Xenopus tropicalis: one gene and its partners. The protein of the gene in region 3 interacts with the protein of the main gene of each other region in a biochemical or structural test. Links are inferred from orthologs where the notes say so. Each region holds a gene or a part of one and is shown on either strand. Other genes may lie near its edges.

Region 1 (3,752 bases), on a different chromosome or scaffold from region 3:
CATCTTGGGCCAGAGGGGGGGCAGCAATCCGCGCTGCTGAATGGGGAGAGATGAGATTAGCCCGGGAGGTGGCGGACGTTCAGACACGTTGCGCTGGAGCTGGCGGAGGGAGTAAAGGCGGGCAGTTACCGTCACGGAGCGGCTCCTTGCCGAGGCGTGAGTGAGGGACAGACCGACCGACTCTCTCATTCCTTGGGCGCTTGTACCGTAACGCCCGTGTTTGTATTGGATCCCGGGAAGCGGGGGGCTCGGATATATCCCCTCATCCCTGGCCATGGGAACTTCATGGGCACTTGGGTACCAGCTGGGCTAACCTTTCATTCTACCAGCCCTTTCCTATTAGTATTCCTGGGGCACCACCACTGGCACAGCTCAGGGGGGGCGAAATCCCTCATACCCCCCAAGTCTGGCACACCTGCCCCATCCCACCCTTTCCTGGCTGACCCTCATACCCCCCCATCTCTTCTCCCCATGGACACGTCCTGCTCTTCCTAAAGGTTCCACTTGGCTATCCGTAGCATTATATGGGGGACACCCTATGAACTCCTGTTCCCTGTGGTATAAACCCCCCCTAAAGTTTCTCTTTGGACTGGTCCATCTCTGCTCTCTGGGATAGATCCTAAAGATTCCTAATGGACGTCAGCTCTGCACTCTGGGGTAGATCCTAAAGATTCCTAATGGACGTCAGCTCTGCACTCTGGGGTAGATCCTAAAGATTCCTAATGGATGTCAGCTCTGCACTCTGGGGTAGATCCTAAAGATTCCTAATGGACGTCAACTCTGGGGTAGATCCTAAAGATTCCTAATGGACGTCAACTCTGGGGTAGATCCTAAAGATTCCTAAAGGACGTCAACTCTGGAGTAGATCCTAAAGATTCCTAAAGGACGTCAACTCTGCACTCTGGGGTAGATCCTGATGGACTGGTCCAACTCTGCACTCTGGGGTAGATCATCATCTCTATTAGGGTAGATTGTAAAGCTTCTCACTGGACATCGTTTCTACTCTCTGGGATTTATGCTAAGATTTCTCCATGGACACGAACAGCTTTCTCTGGGTTGGATCCTAAACAGACATATCCAGCATTCTCTGGGACAGAGCCTAAAGGTTCTTGGCTATATACATCTCTCTGGGGAACATCCTAAATATTCTTCATGGTCATATATAGATTTCTCTGGGATACATCCTAAAAGTTTGCCATTGATATTAACTGTTTAGATCCCTCCCCAGACTTCTTGATTTGTGATTCTCCCTTTATTATAATCTAGTTTTACTCTGGGATATATCTTTAAACCCCCCCCCCCCTCCCTCAGGCTTTCTGCTTTCTCTGGGATCGATCCTAAAGGCTTTCCATGGATATATGCTTTATCTGGGATAAATCCTTATTGCTTTATCTGGAATGGGCATAAACTGTTTTCTCTCGGATTGTTTCTAAAAAGATCTTTGCGGACGCCTGCTGCTTCCTCTGGGATAGGTCATTGGATTGTTAAAAAGGAACACAAACTGTAAAGGAAAAAACATGGGAGCTGCTACCAAGCTGGCCTTTGCAGTCTTTCTTATCTCCTGTTCCTCAGGTAAGACAGTCTCACACGTGTTTGTGGTTGGTCTAATAAAATGGCTGATACGCCAGTTAAATGTCAAATCCTTACGGGGATGTCTGTGTGTATGCACCGATTGCTTTGAACACAATCTGGCATTGTAAAAGTGACACTTTTAGCTGCCAGTTACCGCAGATGAGTTAGCATTATATTGGTTAGATCTGCAGTTACCTACGTAGTATCAGTTCACTTTAAACTACCTTTCATCTGTATCACGCAAGTCTCTTTAGTTTTATCATCATGGCAGTCTCCATAATCTGATTTTATTTCTTTCAAGTCGTTTTTGTGTATCTAGCTGTAAACGGCCTGCCTTTCTTTAAGGGGGAAACTAGGTAACACGAGAATCTTTAAACAAAATTTGCACTGTATGGGCAAGGTGTCTGCTCCGGGCACGGAATGGCAAGGCTGCAACTCGCCCGTAGCTAGTTGCGGGGTTGCAGAATGCTTAGCATTGCAGAATAATTTGCAAAGTAAGTGGTTTAGGCAGGTGGCAAGCCCTATACAGTTCGGCTCACTGATAGATGCATTGCCATGGCTGCTTTGTGCACACATCGCTGCAGGATTTCTTGCTATAGTTGTGTGATAATCAATCAACATCCACTCAGCCCTATGTACGCATTAATATTCCCATTGCAAGGTTTGTTCATTGCACTGTAGCTTTATTTGCTTTAAGCGAGTCGTCCCAATTAAATCTTGTATATAGGTGGGGGACAATGGATGACCTTCTTTATGTGCGACATTGGTTTTTAGGCATTAACTTATATGAACTGCAAAAAAAAAAAACCCTCTGGAATACAACAGTCTAGTGTATAACTAGATTTTATCTAGAAAAGCCTGGGGTGGTTAACCTAATAAGTGCCAGGGATTCTTTAAGGATATTTCCATTGATTGTGAAGCCATCTATCAAAAAGCATTAAATTCTTTCATTGCCAAAGGGGCAAACAAGCCTGTTCCAAGTCTGTCTGGCAGCAAAAGGATTAACTGGCTCCAGTGCCCTTCTGGACAGGCATACATAGTGTTTTTTTGGAGCAACCCTTGGGCTTTTTCAGCCTCTCAGACTTCCATAATCCTCGCAGATTTCCATTTTATTAAGAGGAGTGTGCTTTATCCAGCGCTGTCATTCAGCTGCTGACATTTACCTGAATTTGTATGTATCGCCCAGTCGCAGGCTCCTTTTATTTAACCAAGCACGAACTGAATCCCACTGTCTTTGCTTCAAGAGCTTTTACAGTTTAAACTGCTCGCGTCTTGGAACCGGTCAGATTCACGCTTAGACGGGAAGCTGCATTGATTTCCTCATTTATTTTCCCCCATTGTGTTGCGGACCTGTCAGGGTTTATGCCAACTTAGCAAATGGTGTGTTGCGCTTTGGAAAATCTGCTCACTTGTCCAGAGCTGAGCAATGAAAGGCCGTGTTGTTTGCGAACAGAAGAAACGTGAATGCTTAATGTCTGATTTATCTGTTCCTTCCAGCCAGTGGAACGTGTTCTGGTTCATTGGTGCAGAGTACGCTATAGAGTCGGACCATTCTCCGGCCTTTCAGATTTGATTTCACTCTCCAGTTGCTCCTGAGTTGCTTCGGTATTGTTCCCCAAAGTCAGACATTCAGCTTTATTTATAAAGCTTTCAGGTCTTCAAGGGCTCTGCTGAATGGATCTTTTTCCTTGTGGTTATTAAATAGGGGGAGAGTCTAGCCCTATGTCTGTAGTGGTATTGATTCAATGTGGGCAGATTGTGCTGTGAAATTGCATTTTCTGCCCAAGATTAACTCGATAAAAGACCAAATGCCACTTTTAAAAAATGTAATCACAAACATTTCGTCGTTCAATTTCGTTTTAAAGTATCACGTTGCTAAAGCTTATCAAAGGGTCACGTTTCAGATCTGTAAGATCTCGTAGTAATTAAGGGGAAAGACTTAAAGCAAATTAAACCTGAAATAAAGATGTAAACATTGGTAAGAGTTCTTCTCTGAAATATTGTGTGTTTTACATTTTTCATGTTTTAGTGGTTTCTTAGAAGCTTGCAGTTTTAGATTGCTAATATGAGAAGCTCTTTTAGGGTTAATTTATGGTTAACTGGCTCTGCAGGTGGCACATTGAAAGTCAGTGACCATAGCTAAGAGAGCTGCTGAACCATTAAAATGTGATTAGCAGCCT
Region 2 (3,652 bases), on a different chromosome or scaffold from region 3:
TTTTCAAGGCTACTAAATGCCAGAAAATCCCCTGCCATAGACAATACTCAGAATTGCCTCTGCTAAAACACACGTAGAGACAATTATCAGTAAATGATCAGCATTGTCTATTTTAGTAGCCACAACAAGTAGCTGCTACTAGTAGCTCTGTGTGTCTTCACCCTAACACCTTGTGATTTTTAAAGCACTAAAAAGAGAGAATTTCAATCATAGGTGACACAAAAATTTTTTTATGCAGATTAGGCTTTGTTTATGTATTTTTTGCTAAATCCCCAAATAATGAAGTCAGGGCATCCCTGTGTTTGGACGCGCCTAGCAGTTTGAGGACATTGCTGGAATATTTGGTGTGAGACCTTTTGGTGTGTTGCCACTAACTCCGATGTGCTATTGTGCTGGGATCAGTCAGCAGCCAATCACATTGTGTCGCAGCTAGTGTGTCGGCATTCTTGCTAGTGAGCGGGGCTTTGTGTAAGTCACAGTCTGGGCACGCTTGCAACATGACATTTGTACACTAGAAGCTGTGACAGTTGAATAGAAAGCATGATGTGACAGCCGACAGTTGAGAGTAAATGGATAGGAAGCAATGGCATAAATAGGAGTTACTGGTCCCCAAGATCATTTTGGGGCCCCATACACAATACCCACCGGGTAGTTTACTTCACAGGTTTCCAGCAGGCACAGGTTCTGGCTTCCTTTATAGCTACGTGCCAGGAAAAAGATACACGGCCATAAAGATACCCATACATGGCCGACCATGCCAGATCTAACAAGTGACATGTTTTCTCTTGTATTTGCCCTTTTGGGTGAAATTGAATTTACCCATCCTTTAAAGATGGAAAGGTATGAAAGGTGAAAATACACCCTTTTATATGTTGGTTTGGCCATCATTTTAATCTTTAAATGGTCTATAAAACTTTGGCCCAGCAAGCATTATTTATCTGCATATTTGCGTTTATTCTTTAGAGTGGAAGCAGCCATTGTTGGTCATGTGATTATTCCTTGCCCAGCGCCCTCTGCTGGCTGTGCGAAGTAGCACTTGCTCTGCTGAAACTGCAGTTTTCAGACATTCCCAGTAAACATAACGCGTGTTCCAAATGCAAAACTTGGCCTTTAGAACCTGGTGTGTTGCAAGTTGATGGCGCAATCTCTCCAATTTGTCCTATAAATTCTGTTCTTTCTCCCCATCCAGGAAAAGGGCGATACGGCGAAGTATGGCGGGGTCTCTGGCAAGGAGAAAGCGTCGCAGTGAAGATCTTTTCATCTCGAGACGAAAAATCCTGGTTCAGGGAGACGGAGCTGTACAACACTGTGTTACTGCGGCACGAGAATATTCTGGGTGAGATGTTGTGCCGTACTGCGCCGCGGAGCATGTTGGCACTTTATAAATACTTGATAGCGAGCACAGTTTTGCTGCAAGGGCTGATTTTTGGCCTCCTGAATGCTGGTAAATGTTCAGTTTGGGATGGCGAGGATTTAATTAGCAGAAGCCTGTCCTACATTCTCACCAGATGGCTCGAGCGGATGGGAATGCAAGACAGCTTCTTGTTTTAGTAACTGTTTGGTAGCAACTGCTGTCAGTGGAAAACTCCAGCCGCCCCGGCTCTCTTGTTTCTATTAAAGCGACAGTTTCTCTCTCTCTCTCTCTGTACGCCCCGGAGTAAAAGCGGCACGGAGGGAAATAAAGACGGCAGATAATCAATAGTGGGGTAATCAGGCCGTTTCCTGTTCGGGGCGGAATCGTTGCAATGAAATGCTTTTATAGAATAAACCAGTTCTGCTTTCTTTGTGCCAGACCCTAGGGGCGTCTGCGTTTTTTACATTCCCTGCCTTTGCAAACATTTCGGCACACTCATCTGTTTGGCGTTCTCGCCTGTGTAAACGTTTGGTCTTAATCTTAAACTGTGGTTTTAACCCCCTCCTGCCCAGCTCCTTTTGGAGCCCTTTGTAGTGCAGTGTGCAATATATAAACAGAAGAGCCGCATAAAGGGCAAAGGCATAGGTATGAATTCATCTCCGAGTTAAACACTCTAAAACTAGCCATGCTGGGCTGCTGTAACCCAAGTCGGCCTGTGCCGACGTCTCTAGAAGTACTGTGCACCAGGTGGAACAGAGTGGAAAGGCCAGGGTGTGCTGGTGAGTGTGGATTGGCTGTGTATGGTGCCTGCCCAGCCAGTGTATAGTCTGGAAGGTATATGTCAAGCAGCTTAGACATCCTGTTGAGCAAGGACTTCACTGGCAGTCCTTTCCCAACAGGTCTCCATAGGCCCCCGTTATGATCTGATGATCCCAATTTTGTGCTGTGCATAGGGGAACATCTGCTTGGTTGTAGGACCAGGTTAAAGGGATAGTGACTAATAGGAAGGTGTCGCTATTCCTATGCAAGCGCCCAGCACTAGTCCTGCATTCCCAAGCTGCCCTTTGCTTCTTATCTGTGTTCATCCCATACACTGCTTCCAGAACAGGGAAGTCATGGTTGACGTTGGCTTGGGGGGTGGAGCACAGTACTGATAGGCTGGAAAACAAATTTAAACGTTGCCTAAGCCTGTCATTGCTTTTGCTCCACCCCCTCCCATGCCTGACTCAATCACATCCCATTCCCCATTCTTGAATCTTGTGTTGGGAATTGGCAGAGGTGAGTAGCAGACGGCTGGGTGGGGAAGCAGGGAGCACCTTGTATATTAAGAGTGTTACCATCCCTTTAAGGTACATGGCTCCTGAGACATATTCTCCACCATTGTTTTTTAACTAGCGGAGAAATCTCTCATTTGCATTAATGGAAACTGCTTGTCACTACTGGTTTCTAATGACAGACGACTCCTGCTGGGTGAAGCCAATAATGGAGAATACGTCCCACAAAGGCACCTCTCTTGCGTTCACCATTGTGGATAACAGAACCTACACCTGTCACATGTTTATACAATGCATCTCTTCAGTTAGCCGTGTGTTATCCTGGCACCTCCTTTGCCCTCAGGGTGCAGGCAAATGTAGTTACTGACCCACAATATGGGTAGTGGGGACATAGAGAGGAAGTGGACACAGTGCCCAAGCCTATTCTTTCCTTGTTGTACACAGTATTGTTCTTTTTTACATAACTCTTATCTCATCATGTTGTTACCCCTGGAAACATATTATAAATCATTTGGTTGTTTCGGGTAAAACATTTCATGGGCAGGAACTCTGTCAGATCAAATGATATCTCTGTTAGGGCAGATGAGGAGATCTGCGGGGAGTTGGGAGATGATTGGGTTGCTGTACGGAGGGAAGGGTGCGCCTGTGATTCTCTCTCACTGTTTATTCAGGGGACGATGAACTGCTCTCCTTTAATGCAGTTCTGTTTCTTTAAGCCTCGTTTAGTAAACCATTGAGATCTCGTCCTTTTAAACTGCCTTTTGTTTCTGGATAATGCACATTCCAGTCACGCACTCCTTGTTTTATGTTTTTCCAGCCCATTTTAACTCAAACACCTTTCCCGTATGCGTCTGCATGTCCAGACAGAGGGCCGGGAAGCAAAAGCAGCGAGATTCCTATATTCCATAGATACCAAGGAAAAATACATTGGCTGCACCATGAAGTTCCCTATACGATATGGAATTTTGAATTCTCCCCTTTAATGTGTGTAAATGGAGTTTAAAGGACAAGGAAAAGCTTATGC
Region 3 (3,752 bases):
CCTGCCAAACAGATAACTGGTCAAAAATTAGGGATGCACCGAATCCAGGATTCAGCCTCTCTCACCGGGGTTCGGATTCGCCAAATTAGCATTTGGAAGGGTTAATTGGATTTTTGCCCCTTATGGATCCTAATTATTAGGATTCGGTTCGGTATTTTGCCAAATCCATCGGGGTGGATTCAGCCAAACCCAAAAAACTGGGTTCAGTGCATCCCTATTAAAAATCTGCCAGATATCTATCCAGCAGGTTTGTAAATCCCACTAAACCAGAATCACTGGCTCATAGATGAGGTTCTCCCTCAAAAGATCTGCATTGACCTACATTAGGATCCAATTGTTGGCCCTGACCAGATCAGCTTACTTTTGCCCTGTACATGGGTGGCAAAATGGGTGAAAGATCTACTTGTTTGGCAATCCCACCAACTGAGCACATGTATGTGTGTACAGCCATCTTAACTCTGTGCCACCCTAATCTTAAACTTAAAATTATAGGCTGCTAGCGGAACCATCACAGATGCTGCATTTTACAATGTAATTTATGATAAGAGAACACCTGCTTGAAATAAAGGGTTGTTTCTCCGGCTGATTGCGTCCCTCTTACTTAGTGTTGACAGTCTAATAATCCAAGTTCCCAAAGAATCAACAATGGAACTACAGAAAGGTTTTCAGTTACTGTTTCAACGCAATGTCTCTCCTGTCAGCGATGTTCAACTAACTTTTTTGGGAGGTAGAGGTCTGTACAAATTTTATTTTTACGGGTTATTTCTCCTTCATAAGATAGTCATCTTCTCCCTAAGCAGAAAATTTGGCCTTAGTAGTCTTATCAAGCCCTCATATTTGTTCCCTTGCTTCTAGACTGTTTGCTAGTGTTGTTCGTCCTACGAGGGGGGGGGGTTGATATTACAACAATAACAGAGAAAACAATGTAAACAACAAATATTACAACACTGTTTATACAACACAAGCTGTTTTTTTATCGCTGCGGCAAAACCCCACAATCATTTAAAGACATAAGGTTTCCACTGATCTACAGAAAACAGGGAAGCAGATTCAGATGCAACTTTCTGTGCAATGAAGATTGACTGCCCCGACGGCACATAGCCGACTGGGAACGCTGGGATTAGAAGTTCATACTAGTTAGTAGGCTGTGCTATATTACGGGGTATTTTTACCTGTCTAAAACGTGTCTACATATATAATTTGGAATTTTATCACACGGACAGATATTTGTGTGTCTGTCCCTTTAATGAAACACTTTGCACAACCCCATGCTGGGAGACTGTTCCGTGTACGCACTAAGCTTTCAGCAATCAAGTTACTTTATGCATCTTTCTTGAAAAGGCACATTAGAGAATCCCTTGCTGCAAAGACACAAGCAGTAAAAGGGTGGTGCAGCAATGCAGTTTGAAGGATGTTATTAAGCGCTCTAATAGGGCTCTAGTCCATTTGTGCTCATTTTCGTAGTGTGAATCACTGAGCGTTCTGCTTTGAACTCTGCTGGGCTCAGAATTTCCTGCTCTCTTCTTATTCTGTACAGTAATTGCTACTTCAAAAGAAGTGCGCAGACCTGTCGGATCATGTACAATCCCAAGAAATTGCTCGGATGTAGCAGGCAGCTAGACCATTCCACCTGAGAATATGCCCTGGAAGGCACGCCAAACAAACTACAAGCAAAGTGCTTTTGCCAAATATGACTACTGCATTCCTAATAAGCAAAGCTTCAAAGCCAGCAGACACCAATGGGTAAAGGAAAAGTAAAAAGCTTACAATCTAATTCCGTGCAATGCTAAAAACCTGTGTTTGCAGAGACTGTTTCTGCAGTAAAGCATGGGAAAATGTTACTGAAATCATAGTATAATCAATAAAACTTCTGCCATATATGAAAGTTTATTGGAACCTAGAACAAACTGTTAAGACATCTCCAGGCAAGAGATAAGGGATAACAGTACTCACCTAGATTAACAAAACTCATAACCATGTCGGCGTCATTGAGGAAGTTGCTGTCCTGTTGGCTGGCCAGCGGTGGCCCCTGGGTGGTAAAGATGGGCTTGTATGGATAAGAGAAGCCTTCAGCTTCCTCTTCGTCCACTGTCATAGCATTGTACAAATCCAGCATAAACATAGGGGCAGAATTTTGCTTTCCATACAAATGGGGTCTGGGTCTGTGCGGCAGCCCCAGGATGGATAAAATCTCTCTCTGCATCTCCCTGCGCTCTTGGCCTCGCAACCTCCTTTGGATAAAACTAGAGTGCACCTCATTGTCCAAGGTGAAGTCGGCCAGGATGATCCTCCACAAGAAGTATGTCCAAAGGAGCACAGAACCCGTTTTGTTCTTTTGCAGAACATTCATTTCCCTTGGATCTGTACGGCAAAACCTACAGCACCTGCCCTTCTCTCCAAAGGGGAGACCATCAATAAATGAGCATTAAATCAAACCAGTGCATCCAACTCTCAGCTGAAGTTCTCACTAACTTGGAACAGCTGGAGGCTTCCTCTGCATCAGCTGAACCCAGTCATTGTGAGACTTTGTAACAGGCGACAGGACAAAGGAAGACAGATATACAGATTAATCCTTGTTTTTTCTGCCCTGTAGGGTCTGATCTGTCCTCTCTGTCTCTCTAGCAAAGTCTAAGTGGCTTGTGAAGGCAGACGGAGCCAGCAGGAGACTGAATGTGGTGGGAGGAGCAGGCAGTAAGAAGGAGGGCATAAACAGAGAGAAAGAAATAACTGCACTGTGAATCCCATCAGGTTGCTTCAGGATGTTTGCAAGACTACAGACAAGGGTGGGCCACTGTCTATTTGGTAATTGAAAGTAAACAGATTAAGGACTGTCTGTGTCTCATTATCATTTCAACTGGAGGGCACAGGCATATGTGGCTAGCCTCCTTTTCTCCGACAGGGAAGGCTGTTTGGGACATTCTATAAACAGAATCGATGCTAATAATGCACACAGTGATTTGCTGAAAGTTTAGCAGTCAAAGCTGTCTCTATTATGGAATGCTTGCATTGACAGCTTGCAATCTAAATATGAGGAATTATTATTAACATATAAAGCGGCAACATATCCCGCAGCGCTGTACAATAAGTGGGTTACATACATTGGACATACACAGTAACCAATAAGAAAAACAGAAGGTGATGAGAGCCCTGCCCAAAAGAGCTTACAATCTATAAATAAGTGGGTCCTTGGTATACAGTATTTTGCCTTTAGCACATCTATGATTTGGATGTTACGGTGGCCATACACGGGCCGACTGTAGCTGCCGATATCGGTCCCTTAGACCTCACCAAGCGAGCGGATCTTAACGTGTATGGCCACCTTTAGTGCAACTGAAACAGAGAAGGCCTTGATGGCATAGGTTAAGTTTCTTTATCTTATAATAAATATAATAGACTCAGTTTGAGCTTACTTTATTCATCCCAAGATTTGAGGCCAGTTCCGTACGTGCTTTTAATGCATGTATTAAGGTAATAATGTCACACATTTACGAGCATTTATACTGCTATAAAATTTATAGGGAGCGGAGGCAGCTAAACTACAATGACACCCAGAATTGTGCAACCGCTCGACAGAACAGGACCGAGCAGCCCACAGCCCAAAATTATCACCTCAAAATGTGCCCCTCCATGATGACTTGGGGGATAACCTATCCTTCCACAATAATATTTAATACCATATTAGTAATTCTTGAATAGTGGTTGCAAGGAAAGATCAAAATGATGCTTCACTGTTTACAAGTCTCTTTGCAAAC

The links.
Region 1: the proteins of bmp7.1 (region 3) and acvr2a are reported together in a solved structure, tested with the Homo sapiens proteins (2 studies listed by BioGRID, with this or other methods). The link is inferred for Xenopus tropicalis from reciprocal best matches to the Homo sapiens genes BMP7 and ACVR2A.
Region 2: the proteins of bmp7.1 (region 3) and acvr1 form a complex in vitro, tested with the Homo sapiens proteins (2 studies listed by BioGRID). The link is inferred for Xenopus tropicalis from reciprocal best matches to the Homo sapiens genes BMP7 and ACVR1.

Annotation. Positions count from the first base shown.
Region 1 is NC_030685.2:77,286,267-77,290,018, reverse strand, and holds the start of acvr2a (activin receptor type-2A), read left to right. Parts: upstream 1-938; 5' UTR 939-1,517; coding exon 1,518-1,572; intron 1,573-3,752. UniProt on the Homo sapiens protein: On ligand binding, forms a receptor complex consisting of two type II and two type I transmembrane serine/threonine kinases.
Region 2 is NC_030685.2:73,923,071-73,926,722, forward strand, and holds part of acvr1 (activin receptor type-1 precursor), read left to right. Parts: intron 1-1,189; coding exon 1,190-1,336; intron 1,337-3,652. UniProt on the Homo sapiens protein: Bone morphogenetic protein (BMP) type I receptor that is involved in a wide variety of biological processes, including bone, heart, cartilage, nervous, and reproductive system development and regulation.
Region 3 is NC_030686.2:5,568,953-5,572,704, reverse strand, and holds the start of bmp7.1 (bone morphogenetic protein 7), read right to left. Parts: upstream 2,537-3,752; 5' UTR 2,351-2,536; coding exon 1,954-2,350; intron 734-1,953; exon of another isoform or gene 713-733; intron 1-712. UniProt on the Homo sapiens protein: Growth factor of the TGF-beta superfamily that plays important role in various biological processes, including embryogenesis, hematopoiesis, neurogenesis and skeletal morphogenesis.